Danio rerio: one gene and its partners. The protein of the gene in region 1 purifies or fractionates together with the protein of each later gene. This does not show direct contact. Links are inferred from orthologs where the notes say so. Each region holds a gene or a part of one and is shown in the gene's direction. Other genes may lie near its edges.

Region 1 (3,658 bases):
ACCATGTCCCCTACTCTGAAGTCCCTAGTGACTCAGGAACTCTGTCAATGTTTTTTGGGGGAAATGATGTTGAAAATGAAGAAACTCTAACAGGGGAGGGGCGTGTAAATGGAATTCATCAACCTCTCCATTCAACAACAGAATTCTCTGGTCCCTATTTGAATGACAGTGGTAACATACGAGCTGGGACAGGACCAAGTGATTCAGTGGAGAATCTGGAATGTGTTCCAAACCAGGAAGTTCTGCCTAGTGAGCCACCTCCAAGTCATGCCTTTGAGGGGGGACCTAACTTGGAGACACCAGACTCTGCTCCTCGCCTTGCCCGCTCTGCAAGTGTCTCATCCAGCTACAGTAATGTCAGTCACAGTAGTGGACACGGTGCTCACAGTGGGGGTCATGTCCCTCGTAGACAACAAGTAGTGGGAACATTTATCCAACAGGAGAGTCCTCGTCCACCTGATCACCCTCCACTGCATCCCTCAACTGGTGGATACTTTGAACAAATAGACTCTAACCCAGCTGCAGAGGCAAGTCCTACTTTCCCAACTCCTAGTCCACCTAAACCAGTTGGTGTGTTCCAGGCAAGTGCAAATTCCTCATTTGAGCCTGTTCGTTCACATGGTGTAGGAGTTCGACCTGCTGAAGTTGATCGTGCACGTGTGGTCATGGAAAAGGGTGGACGTGACATGCAGCCTGGCAATTTAGAGCATCCTCCAGATAACTTGGAGACTATTTACTTATCAGAACGCCGACCCTCATCTCGAGCTCAGGGGGCACGACGCCCCATCGAAAGTCCTGCAACTGCACTCTGGGCTCAAAATGACACTGCCAGTCTAAGTGCTAACATACTGTTAGCCCCTGCAGCACCGTCTCTGACTGCAACATTTGTTCCAGCACATCCATCTGAAGTAATTCAGCCACCAGAAGATGGGCCACTTGATCTGCATCCAGCTAGGCCAGATCCACAACCTCCCTCTGAAAACCTTGAGATTCCTCCAGACTCTACACCTCAGGCAAGTCTGGGATATGCCTCCTTGCTTGTGACCTCACCTCCAGAAGAGGCTCTGAACCAGCCCGTCTTGATTGCGCCACCTTCCTCTAATTACAGTTTGATTTCATCCCAAAATCTCTTACAACCATCAATTCTGCCAAGTCCTCAAGAGACAGCAGCACCTGTTCACCCACATCCTCAATCTTCATTGACCAATCAAATGCCTCAGAATTCTCCTCCAACAAATCAGCCACCACTTCTTTTTTCTCAGACACCAGTAAACTTCAGTTCTTCCTCAGCTCAAGGTGTCTTGAATCTAACGCGAGAGGCCAACGATGGTCAGGCAGCCCGACCAAACCTCTCAAGGGCCCAGTCTCTTAAAGGTGATAGCCAATTTCTTCCGCCTTCTGCTACTCAAGCTCCGCCTTCTTCAGCTGCCTCCACCAATCACAACCAACCTTCAAATTATCAGCTGCTTGATTTTTCTATGCATCAGCCACAGTCTACAAATCAGGTCACATCAGTCCCAGCTGTCTCTCAATCAACCCATCCTGCAGGCTTGGTGAATAACACACCTGGCTTTTACCTGCAGGTCACCAAAGATGCACAGCAAGGGGGACAGTCTGACACTGATTCTCTGTCCCATCAGCAGAACTCCAACCCCCCATTACCCTCTAGCAACCAACTTGACAATAATCAGACTCTGAACTCCCATCCTCCTCCACCTCCAGCTCAAAACCAGCCTCCTCCACAGGCCCCTCCAACACATCCTGGCGCCCCTCCTACTGGACCTGGATCTGCCCAACCACCTCCTTACCCACCCCAATCTGGAAACTCTACCACCCAACCACCTCAAGAACCTCAAAGGCCTCCTTCATCTCTAGGTAGTCAATCAGGTTATGGGGTTCCTCCTGCCATGCCCCCTGGTCCAGGTTACCCAGGGTACTACCCAGGAGCCTACCCGGAGTACCAGGATGGAAGAGTACCATACCCACCGCAGTATCCTGTGGATCCCAGAACTCAAAATTATTATCAGGTGCATGATGTAATGATCAGTACATTTCCATATAAAGAATTCAATTCCTACCACATTTTGTATCAACATGTTTGTTTGTTTTTTTGTAGGATGATCCCTACCGTAGAGGCGATCCTCGATACGGATGGTATGATGGACAGAATCCTGGCTATCGGGAGGCTGAACGCCAACCAGAGAGGCCAAGCTCTAGAACCAGTCAATACTCTGACAGGCCCAGCTCAAGGTGAGGGCTTGTTCCACATTCACTCACTTTCTAATGATTTGAGATTTTTGTCAGATTTTTGTTTTTACACTTTGATTTCTTGGTTTGATTTGAGAGCAAATTTCTGTACTATTCCCCTGACGTTGCTGATTACATTGTTCTTATCACGAATGGAGAATTTAATCAGTCGATACCATCGCTATGCTTGCATACCAGTGCTTACTAGCTGTTTATCATAAGTAGGATTATTGATTTTCTGCAAAAACATTATATTCACAGAAAGGCTTTTTAATACAGCACTTGAACTGTATGCCATTTAGTGATTTTTGGTAGTGTGCACTTGTCTAAAATTACTCTGAAACCAATGTTTTAGTTTTTTCCTCTAATCTTAGACAGGGGTATCAAGAAGACTTTTCAAGATCCAGCCGTAGTGCCTATGACGAATACTATGCAAACTACTATAAGAGACAATACGATGCCTATGGAGGTAAAGACTCTTAAGTGCTACAAATCTCTGCCTTCTATGTATTCTATATTCTTTTGCTTATTTTGTGGGTGTTTGTGTGTATTTAGATAGGAGCAGGTGGTATGATCCCAATGCTGCTTATGATCCACGCTACAAAGCATACTATGATCAAATGTATGGATGGTATTATAACCAAGATGGTTACAGAGGAGGACAGGCGTATTACAACCAACAATATCAAAACAGGTACTCGCAGGCACTCATGCAATTCATCTTTTATTATTATTAATACTTTTAGTTTTTGCATATGAACACTTTTCTTGGTAATCGTCACTAGGGGAAGGGAAGGGTATGACGATCCATGGCGATATTACCCTGGTTATGACTCCAGCTTTGACGATGACTCTCGGAGACGTGACCCATATGCTGATGATTTTGACCGGCGTTCGGTTCACAGTGAACAATCAGCACACAGTGTGCATTCATCACACAGTCGACGTAGTAGCTTCAGCTCACGGTCACAACAGGTGTGTGTATGTATGTATGTGATTTAGTGGATTTATCTGCGTAATGTTAATTGACAGAACGTTTAATTCCTATCTGAAACCTAAAATTCTTTAGTATATATGCGAAAAATGGCAAGTGGGATGGGAAAACTGTACTAATAATGAGTTATATATGAAAGTATACTCCCTAAATTTAATCTGAGACCAGGCATGACCAAACTGTTTATACTAGATTGGTTAACTCTAGGAATGACTCTAGGAATGATGCACCACCAACATTAAGCCTCCCTCAGCATAAAGCATATTTTAATAGAATGTGAAATTTTATAGACTACTAGATAAGATTTCTGTACTGTATGTTGATGGATGGTTTTTAAAAATGTATGCCCAGAAAAAAAAAAGTAAGTTATTGATTATATTTTGAACTGAAAAAATCATATCGAATTTTTGTTTAATG
Region 2 (4,265 bases), on another chromosome or scaffold:
GAAAATGAATGAATGAATGAACAAATGAACGAATGAATGAATGAAGGAAGGAAGGAAGGAAGGAAGGAAGGAAGGAAGGAACGAACTAAAGAATGAATGAATGAATGAATGAATGAATGAATGAATGAATGAATGAATGAATGTGGGTCACATAGGTTTAGTCTTTTTCGACCCACATTTTAAATACATTTAAATGATTTGGGTAAAGAAAAAATCTACCAATCAGTTCACTTCCAAAAAAAAAAACATTCAAAACGTGCCCAAAGCGCAATGCTTCCTGGGTTTATGAATTTCATTGCAGTCGTGACACACCAACATACACTGTAAAAAATGCAGGGTTCCACACAATTCATTCGTGTTGTCCTAACACAAATCGATTAAGTTAACTTGACACTTCTAATAAAATTATGTGGATTGAACATAAAAAAAATTAAGTTGTCCCAAATGAAATCTCAAAAATTGTGTTGTTTCAGCTCATTTTAATTAAGTAGTTTAAACTAGTTGTGTATTTGGCCCAGTTCATTAATTTGGCTAAGACTTGACCCAGATATGGTCCATGTTTGGCCCTTGTCTGATAGCCAGAATTGGTCCAGTCATGCACTGTAATTCTGATTGTGTGGGCCAAATCTGGGCCAGAGAAATTTTGCTATGTGATTAAACATTCAGAGCATTGAAATATTTGTAGCAAATGACAACTTATATTGTATGACTGATGTATTGTGAAAGATGTATGGACTATTATTATAAAACTTAAAATATCTTATCTTTTTTCTAAAAACATGTTCTTAAAGGGATAGTTCTCCCAAAAATGTCAATTCTGACATTATTTATTTATTGTTCACTTGTTCACTCAAATGTTTCTACCTCTGAACACAAAAGAAAAATTTTGAAAACCTGTAACCCTTGACTTCTATAGTATTTGTTTTTGCTACTATGGAAGTCATTGGTTAACGGTTTTCAGCTTTCTTCAAAATATATTCTTTTGTGTTCAACAGAATAAAGAAACTCATGATGGTTTGGTATGGATGCATGGTTTGAAACCACTCAAAGATGAGTAAATAGTAAGTAGATTGTAATATTTGGGTGAACTATCCCTTTAAGGTAAATAAATATGTGAAAAATCCAAATTTGCATTTTACAGACAAAAATATCAGCTGGTTTAAAAATACATTTGTGATAATGTCTTCCTAGATCATTTAGAGTAAAAATATTCTGCAACATTCAATATTAAAATTAGAAAAAGGTCACATTCATACACAACAGGTGTCTTAACACTGCAATATATAAAAAAAATAAATAAAAAAAAACGAAAATGTGGTTCTGGTATCAAAACAATGCCACTAATGTGTGTGCTTCTTGCCAAGTTTGGAAGCTTTAAATAAAAAAACAGGCACATAAGACAACAGTAGTAGGCGTTATTCCTACAGGATGAATAATGTGCACCCAAGAGCTTGTGGCGCCTCCTCGGAGAGCGCAGGTGTGCTCCAGACGCCCATGATCTCATCTGCTCACCTTCAGCCCCCGGATCTCGTTCAGATGCAGCTGCAGGCTGCGGTTCACCTCCCGAATCAGATTACTGTGATCCAGAATGACGCTCATTTTATCGGCTTCACACCTCCGGAGCCGCTGCACCAGCTCCTCTTTGCTCCATTGGAGGAGCTCTTCGTCCGTGAGGTTGGCGATGTCTTCTGCTGGACTTTCCGGCGCCTTGGATCCAGGCTGTGCTTGTGGAGAATTCTCCATTAGAAGAGGCGAGCTGCTGCTGCTGCTTCTGCTGCTGTGGTACCAGATCAAATATTAATGAGGCAGGCAGGCAGTGTCAGGAGGAGTCAGGGAGACTGAGGACGCATCGTGTAGAGATGCTCGTATCCGATGCCCTTACAGTGGGAGTCGCCTCGACTTTTCCCAAAGCAGCAACAGCTGATGAGCAGAAGGAAGGCCGGCATATAGAGCGAGTCCGCCCAATTTGTTCAGCACCGGCTCCCGTGCATAGTTCTTGTAAGTTTGGAAAAGTGACGGTGTATGATCGCCGGTGAGATGTGGGTGGGTTTAGGCGGCCCGGTGCGCTCGCCCCCGTCCGCCTCTGCGCGCTCCTGCATCCTCGTGGATATGGAGGAGAGACGGCAGCATCCTCAGCCCGAGCTCCGGAGAAATGAGCGTGACTGCAGCGAATGGGTAAATTCATTCTCTCTCTCTCTCTCTCTCTCTCTCTCTCTCTCTCTCTCTCTCTCTCTCTCTCTCTCTCTCTCTCTCTCTCTATCTCCGTTTGTGTGTGTCGTGCATGTTTGTGTGCGCGAGTGGCCGAGAGGTGATGCTGTTGTTCAAGTTCCATTTAAGTTTGTATCTAGCGCCATCTATTGACTCGTTAACACAGTCTTCTACACCAGAAAAAAATGTCTAAATACTAGGTAGGCTAATATTCATTCATTCATTCATTCATTCATTCATTCATTCATTTTCTTTTCGGCTTAGTCTCTTTATATGCAGTTTAATAAACTATTCTATTTCAAAAACACAACGCTATTTACTACAAATTACTATAGTCATTATTAGAAGTTTAGTAGTATATGATACTAGCCTTCTACAAATGAAAAAAGAGGCTTAAATACTAATATATGCAGTGTAATGAACTTTTCTATGGTTCAAAAACACTATAATAGGCTATTTACTACAAATTACCATAGTCATTTATAGAAGTTTAGAAGTATGTGATACTAGCCCAGGTGTGGGCAAACTTGATCCTGGAGTGCCAGTGCCCTGCATAGTTTAGCTCCAACCCTATTCAAACAGACGTCCATAGAGTCCATAGAATTATCATAGTCATTTTTTGATGTTTAGAACCATAAGATACTAACATTCTACAAATAAAAAAAAACGCTAACTAATATAGGCAGTATAATAAACGTTTTTGGTTCAAAAACACTATAATAATCTATTTACTACCAATTACAATACAAGTTTATTAGAAGCATAGATATAAGCTCTCTACTAATGATTTACTATCATTTACTATTTCTAAAGAAAAAAACATTACTGATATATGCAGTATAATAAACTTTTCTATGGTTTAAAAGCACTATATTTACTACAAATTAGTCAATTTTTAGAAGTTAAGAAGCATGATAGCATTCTACAAATGAAAAAAGATCCTCCTAAATATTGATATATGCAGTATAATAAACTCTTCTATTGGTTAGAACACTATAGCTATTTCCTACAAATTATCATATTAGAAGCATGTGATATTCGCCTTCTGCAAATGAAAAAAAATTTTCTTAAATACTGATATATGCAGTTTAATAAACATTTATATGGTTCAAAAACACTATAGCTTTTTACTACCAATTGCCATTGTCATTTTTCAGAAGCATATGATACTAGTGTTCTACTAATGGGGAAAAAATTCTTAAATGCTAATATATACAGTATAATAAACTTTTCTATTGTTCAAAAACACTATAGTAGCTACTTACTACAAATTGCCATAGTCATTCATAGAAGCATATAACACTAGCCTATTAAACTGCTTAAATACTAATATATTTAATAAACATTTATATGGTTTAAAACACTATAGTAGGCTATTTACTACAAATTACCGTTGTCATTTTAAAAACATATGATACTAGCTATATATCTAGTGTGTGTGTGTGTGTGTGTGTGTGTGTATATATATATATATATATATATATATATATATATATGGTATAATAAACTTTCTATTATATATACAGTATAATAAACTTTTCTATGGTTTAAAAGCAATATATTGACTACAAATTACCATAGTCGTTTTTTAGAAGTTTATATATGATACTAGCCTCCTACAAAAGAAAAAAAATACTAATATATGCAGTATATTAAACTTTTCTGTTGTTCAAAAACACTATACTAGCTATTTACTATTATGATAGCATTCTACAAATGAAAAAAGAGGCTTAAATGCTTATATATGCAGATACACGTTTCTATGATTCTAATAGTAGACTATTTATTTATCATAGTAATTTTTAGATATTTAGAAGCATAAGATACTTACATTCCACAAATAACAACTGCTTAAATACTAATATATGCAGTATAATAAACTTTTCTATGGTTCAAAAACACTATGGTAATTTACTACAAATTACCATAGTCATTTTTTAGAAGTTTAGAAGCCTGATACTAGCCTTCTACAAACGAAAAAAATACTAATATAAGTTCAAAAGCACTATTTACTACAAATTACCATAGTCTTTTAAAGAACCATGTGGGTGTGTGCT
Region 3 (3,658 bases), on another chromosome or scaffold:
GTGCTCCGGTTTCCCCCATAGTCCAAAGACATGCAGTACAGGTGAATTGGGTAGGCTAAATTGTCTGTAGTGACTGAGTGTGTGTGTGAATGTGTGTGTAGATGTTTCCCAGAGATGGGTTGCAGCTGGAAGGGCATCCGCTGCGTAAAAACTTGCTGGATAAGTTGGCGGTTAAAAAAATATTACTTTAAAAATTGTTTTGTAAATAAATCATATGAACATTCTCTTCTATCTGTCAATAAAATTTATTAAATAATTAATTAATTATTATTATTATTAATAATAATAATAATAAATTAATAATTAATAAAAAATTATAAATAATTAATATTTAATAATTAATAAAGGGACTAAGCCGACAAGAAAATGAATGAATTTAAAAACGGAATAAATATACATGTACACACATGAAAACAATTAAATAAATAGTCGCAATTATGGACTAAAAATCCGCGGACTTATGACTGATACAGAATTTCATTATCATACATTATACCTCTGAATGTCTCTGTTCAGTCATGAGGGTCCGGTGTGGCAGGTGGCCTGGGCTCATCCCATGTACGGCAACATCCTGGCGTCCTGCTCCTACGACAGGAAGGTGATCATCTGGAAAGAGGAGAACAGCACCTGGGACAAGATGTATGAATACACAGGCCACGACTCCTCGGGTAACCTCCCTTCCCATTCTCAAATCACACGTTTCCATTTCACATTTTAGCAATATTTTTTAAGGGGTGGGAATCACCAGTTCCACAATATTGTCACGATACAGTTAGGGCTGTGCAATTAATCAAAAATTCGATTTCGATTTTAATTTTGGCTTCTAACGATTATGTAAAAACATTAATCGAGATAAACGATTATTGCATCATTTACTGCCCCCTTTCTAGTTGTACGCGTGTTGAAAATCAAAAGACATGCGAAAGAGAAACCATTTTAAGAGACAGTGCGCGATAATCCTTCTACCGCCTGTTTTTATAATTATTAATCAAACAATAAATGGAGAACATGTCTTTCTGCTCTTGACTCAAGGACTGCTGCAGCTAAAGTGTTTTTCTGACATTGAAGATGCATAAAGCACAGTTTGCTTCATATTTTTATTCTATTGTTTTTATTTCTCTTATGTTTGCAGGTGGGAAAATAACTGTATATGCAGTTGAAGTGAGAAATACTAGCCCTCCTGAATATTAGCAACTCTCTTCTCCCGTTTTCTGTTTAATGGAAAGAAGATTTCTGAACTGATTTATTTTATCTTTGTCATGATGACAGCACATAATATTTGACTAGATATTTTTCAAAATACAAGCATTCAGATTCAAAGTGCGATTTAAAGGCTTAATTAGTGTAATTAGGCAAGTTATTGTATAACAGTAGTTTCTTCTGCAGACAATCAAAAAATATATAGCTTAAGGGGGCTAATATTATAGACTTTAAAATGGGTTTCAAAATATTTAAACCTGCTTTTATTCTAGCCAAAATAAAAAAGCCTTTCACCAGGAGAAAAAAGTATTAGAGGAAATACGGTTAAATTCCAGTTAAACATCATTTGGAAAATATTTATTTAAAAAAAAATTACCAGGAGCGCTAATTATTTTGACTTAAACAGTAATGGTTTTGAATAATCGTGATTACAATTGTGACCAAAATAATCGTGATTATGATTTTTCCCAAAATCGAGCAGCCCTAGATACAGTATTATAGTGCTATTGTGCGATTATATTGCTATTTATTACCTGTTTTCAACTTTAAATTATGTCCTCAAAGGAAAATATCTGTTTTATCAGTTTATCTCACTAAAGTTTTGTTCATGCAGTGCAAAATGGGATTGTTAGGTGGACAAACTCATAAATAGTGTATGCACCTTTTTGCAATGCCACTTTATTTATTGTACTATTTTACTGTGTGCTAAAGATGACCCAACTCACCTGAAAAAAAAAAAAAAAAAAACAGGTTCAAAAAAACTCAACACCACCAGTGGTTCCCAACCTTTTTCTTTGGGGCTCCCCCCATGAACATATACAAACATTGGAGCCCCCCCACCATATAAATACACACGCACGCACACACATATGTACTGTGTATATATATATATATATATATATATATATATATATATATATATATATATATATATATATATATGTATGTGTGTGTGTGTGTTTGTGTAATATTAATATATAGTAATATGTATAGAAAATATTAATTAATCAGTTTTAACTTGTCTTGGCCTTCAATAAAACCAAAATCTAGGTAGGCTTTGTCATACTGTCTAATCTTTTTCTTCGCCTCTGAATAATCACTGCATTTACGTTTGTCTGCCATTTTTGTTTTGATTTTGCCTTCACGACACGTTGACAAGCAGATTGCGCGAGTGAGCAAAATTTAAATAATTATTTAAAGTTATTTATTTTAATTATTTTCACTATTATGTTGGAATTTTAAGCATGTGTTTAGATTTTTTTTTTGGTACTTAAAAATACATATATAATAGTAGGGCTGCTCGATTTTGGGAAAAATCATAATCACGATTATTTTGGTCATAATTGTAATCACGATTATTCAAAACCATTGCCAGTTAAAGTCAAAATTTTTAGCGCTCCTGAGATTTTTTTTTTTTTTTTTAAATATTTCCCAAATTATGTTTAACAGAGCAAGGAATTTTAACAGTATTTCCTATAATATTTTTTCTTCTATTTGTTTTATTTTAGCTAGATTAAAGAAAGGTTTAAATATTTTGAAACCAATTTAAGGTCAATATTATTAGCCCCCTTAAGCAAAATATATTTTTGATTGTCTGCAGAATAAACTACCGTTATAATGACTTGCCTTATTACTCTAATTAAGCCTTTGAACTGCACTTTAATCTGAATGCTTGTATTTTGAAAAATATCTAATAAAATATTATGTGCTGTCAATATAGCAAAGACAAAAAGAAATCAGTAATTAGAAATGAGACTATTATGTTCAGAAATAAGTTAATAAAATATTCTTTCCATGAAACAGAAATTGGGCAGGAAAAGGTTTGCTAATATTCAAGAGGGCTAATAATTCTGACTTCAACTGTATAACAACAGTTTAACAAACGAAACTAATTATTTAAAGGCTAATTTATGTCTGTGCGGTAAGGTTTCCTTATCCACGAGAGCAAAAGTGAAAGTGAACTTACTTTACGTCATGTTAATAGCAATGCGCTAATGGTGCGACGCAGCTGGCTCTTAAAGGTAATGGAAGATGAGACTCTGATTGGTTTATTCTCAAAACACACCTATAACTCATTAAGAAAATAAACTCAACCCTTTTAGACCATGCGCCATGGCGCAAAGCGGATTTTCCCGTCCTTAAGTTAGCAAAAATGCGTTCTGACATGCCCTGAAAGCGTTTGCGCCCTGCGTTTTGCGCTCTGCGCATGGACAGTCAAAATAGAGCCCTTTATTTCAAAATAGCCACTAGCAAGAAATCTAGCATATTGTATTGCTTCCTCTGTATATAATAGTGATTTTTTTTTTAATAGTTGGCTTATCTGCAACCTACACACTAGCCATTATTTTTATTAGAAGCAGACATGCATGTCAGACAAGCATTAATGAGCAGTAAATGCATTGTTTTAAGGGGAGATTTTACAGAGGATTCAAGATTTTTGGATAAAGGGATCATCCCT

The links.
Region 2: the proteins of sec16a (region 1) and sec23b purify together in Homo sapiens (affinity purification with mass spectrometry; 3 studies listed by BioGRID and IntAct, with this or other methods). This does not show direct contact. The link is inferred for Danio rerio from reciprocal best matches to the Homo sapiens genes SEC16A and SEC23B.
Region 3: the proteins of sec16a (region 1) and sec13 purify together in Homo sapiens (co-immunoprecipitation; 4 studies listed by BioGRID and IntAct, counting the BioPlex papers as one, with this or other methods). This does not show direct contact. The link is inferred for Danio rerio from reciprocal best matches to the Homo sapiens genes SEC16A and SEC13.

What each region holds. Positions count from the first base shown.
Region 1 is NC_133196.1:6,563,002-6,566,659, reverse strand, and holds part of sec16a (protein transport protein Sec16A), read left to right. Parts: coding exon 1-2,027; intron 2,028-2,116; coding exon 2,117-2,250; intron 2,251-2,621; coding exon 2,622-2,716; intron 2,717-2,802; coding exon 2,803-2,941; intron 2,942-3,032; coding exon 3,033-3,222; intron 3,223-3,658. UniProt on the Homo sapiens protein: Acts as a molecular scaffold that plays a key role in the organization of the endoplasmic reticulum exit sites (ERES), also known as transitional endoplasmic reticulum (tER).
Region 2 is NC_133181.1:7,710,523-7,714,787, forward strand, and holds the start of sec23b (protein transport protein Sec23B), read left to right. Parts: upstream 1-1,423; 5' UTR 1,424-1,512; coding exon of another isoform or gene 1,513-1,743; 5' UTR 1,744-2,171; coding exon 2,172-2,175; intron 2,176-4,265. Other genes in the region: ccdc85al (coiled-coil domain containing 85A, like), read right to left, coding at 1,513-1,743. UniProt on the Homo sapiens protein: Component of the coat protein complex II (COPII) which promotes the formation of transport vesicles from the endoplasmic reticulum (ER).
Region 3 is NC_133197.1:32,949,535-32,953,192, forward strand, and holds part of sec13 (protein SEC13 homolog), read left to right. Parts: intron 1-516; coding exon 517-668; intron 669-3,658. UniProt on the Homo sapiens protein: Functions as a component of the nuclear pore complex (NPC) and the COPII coat. At the endoplasmic reticulum, SEC13 is involved in the biogenesis of COPII-coated vesicles.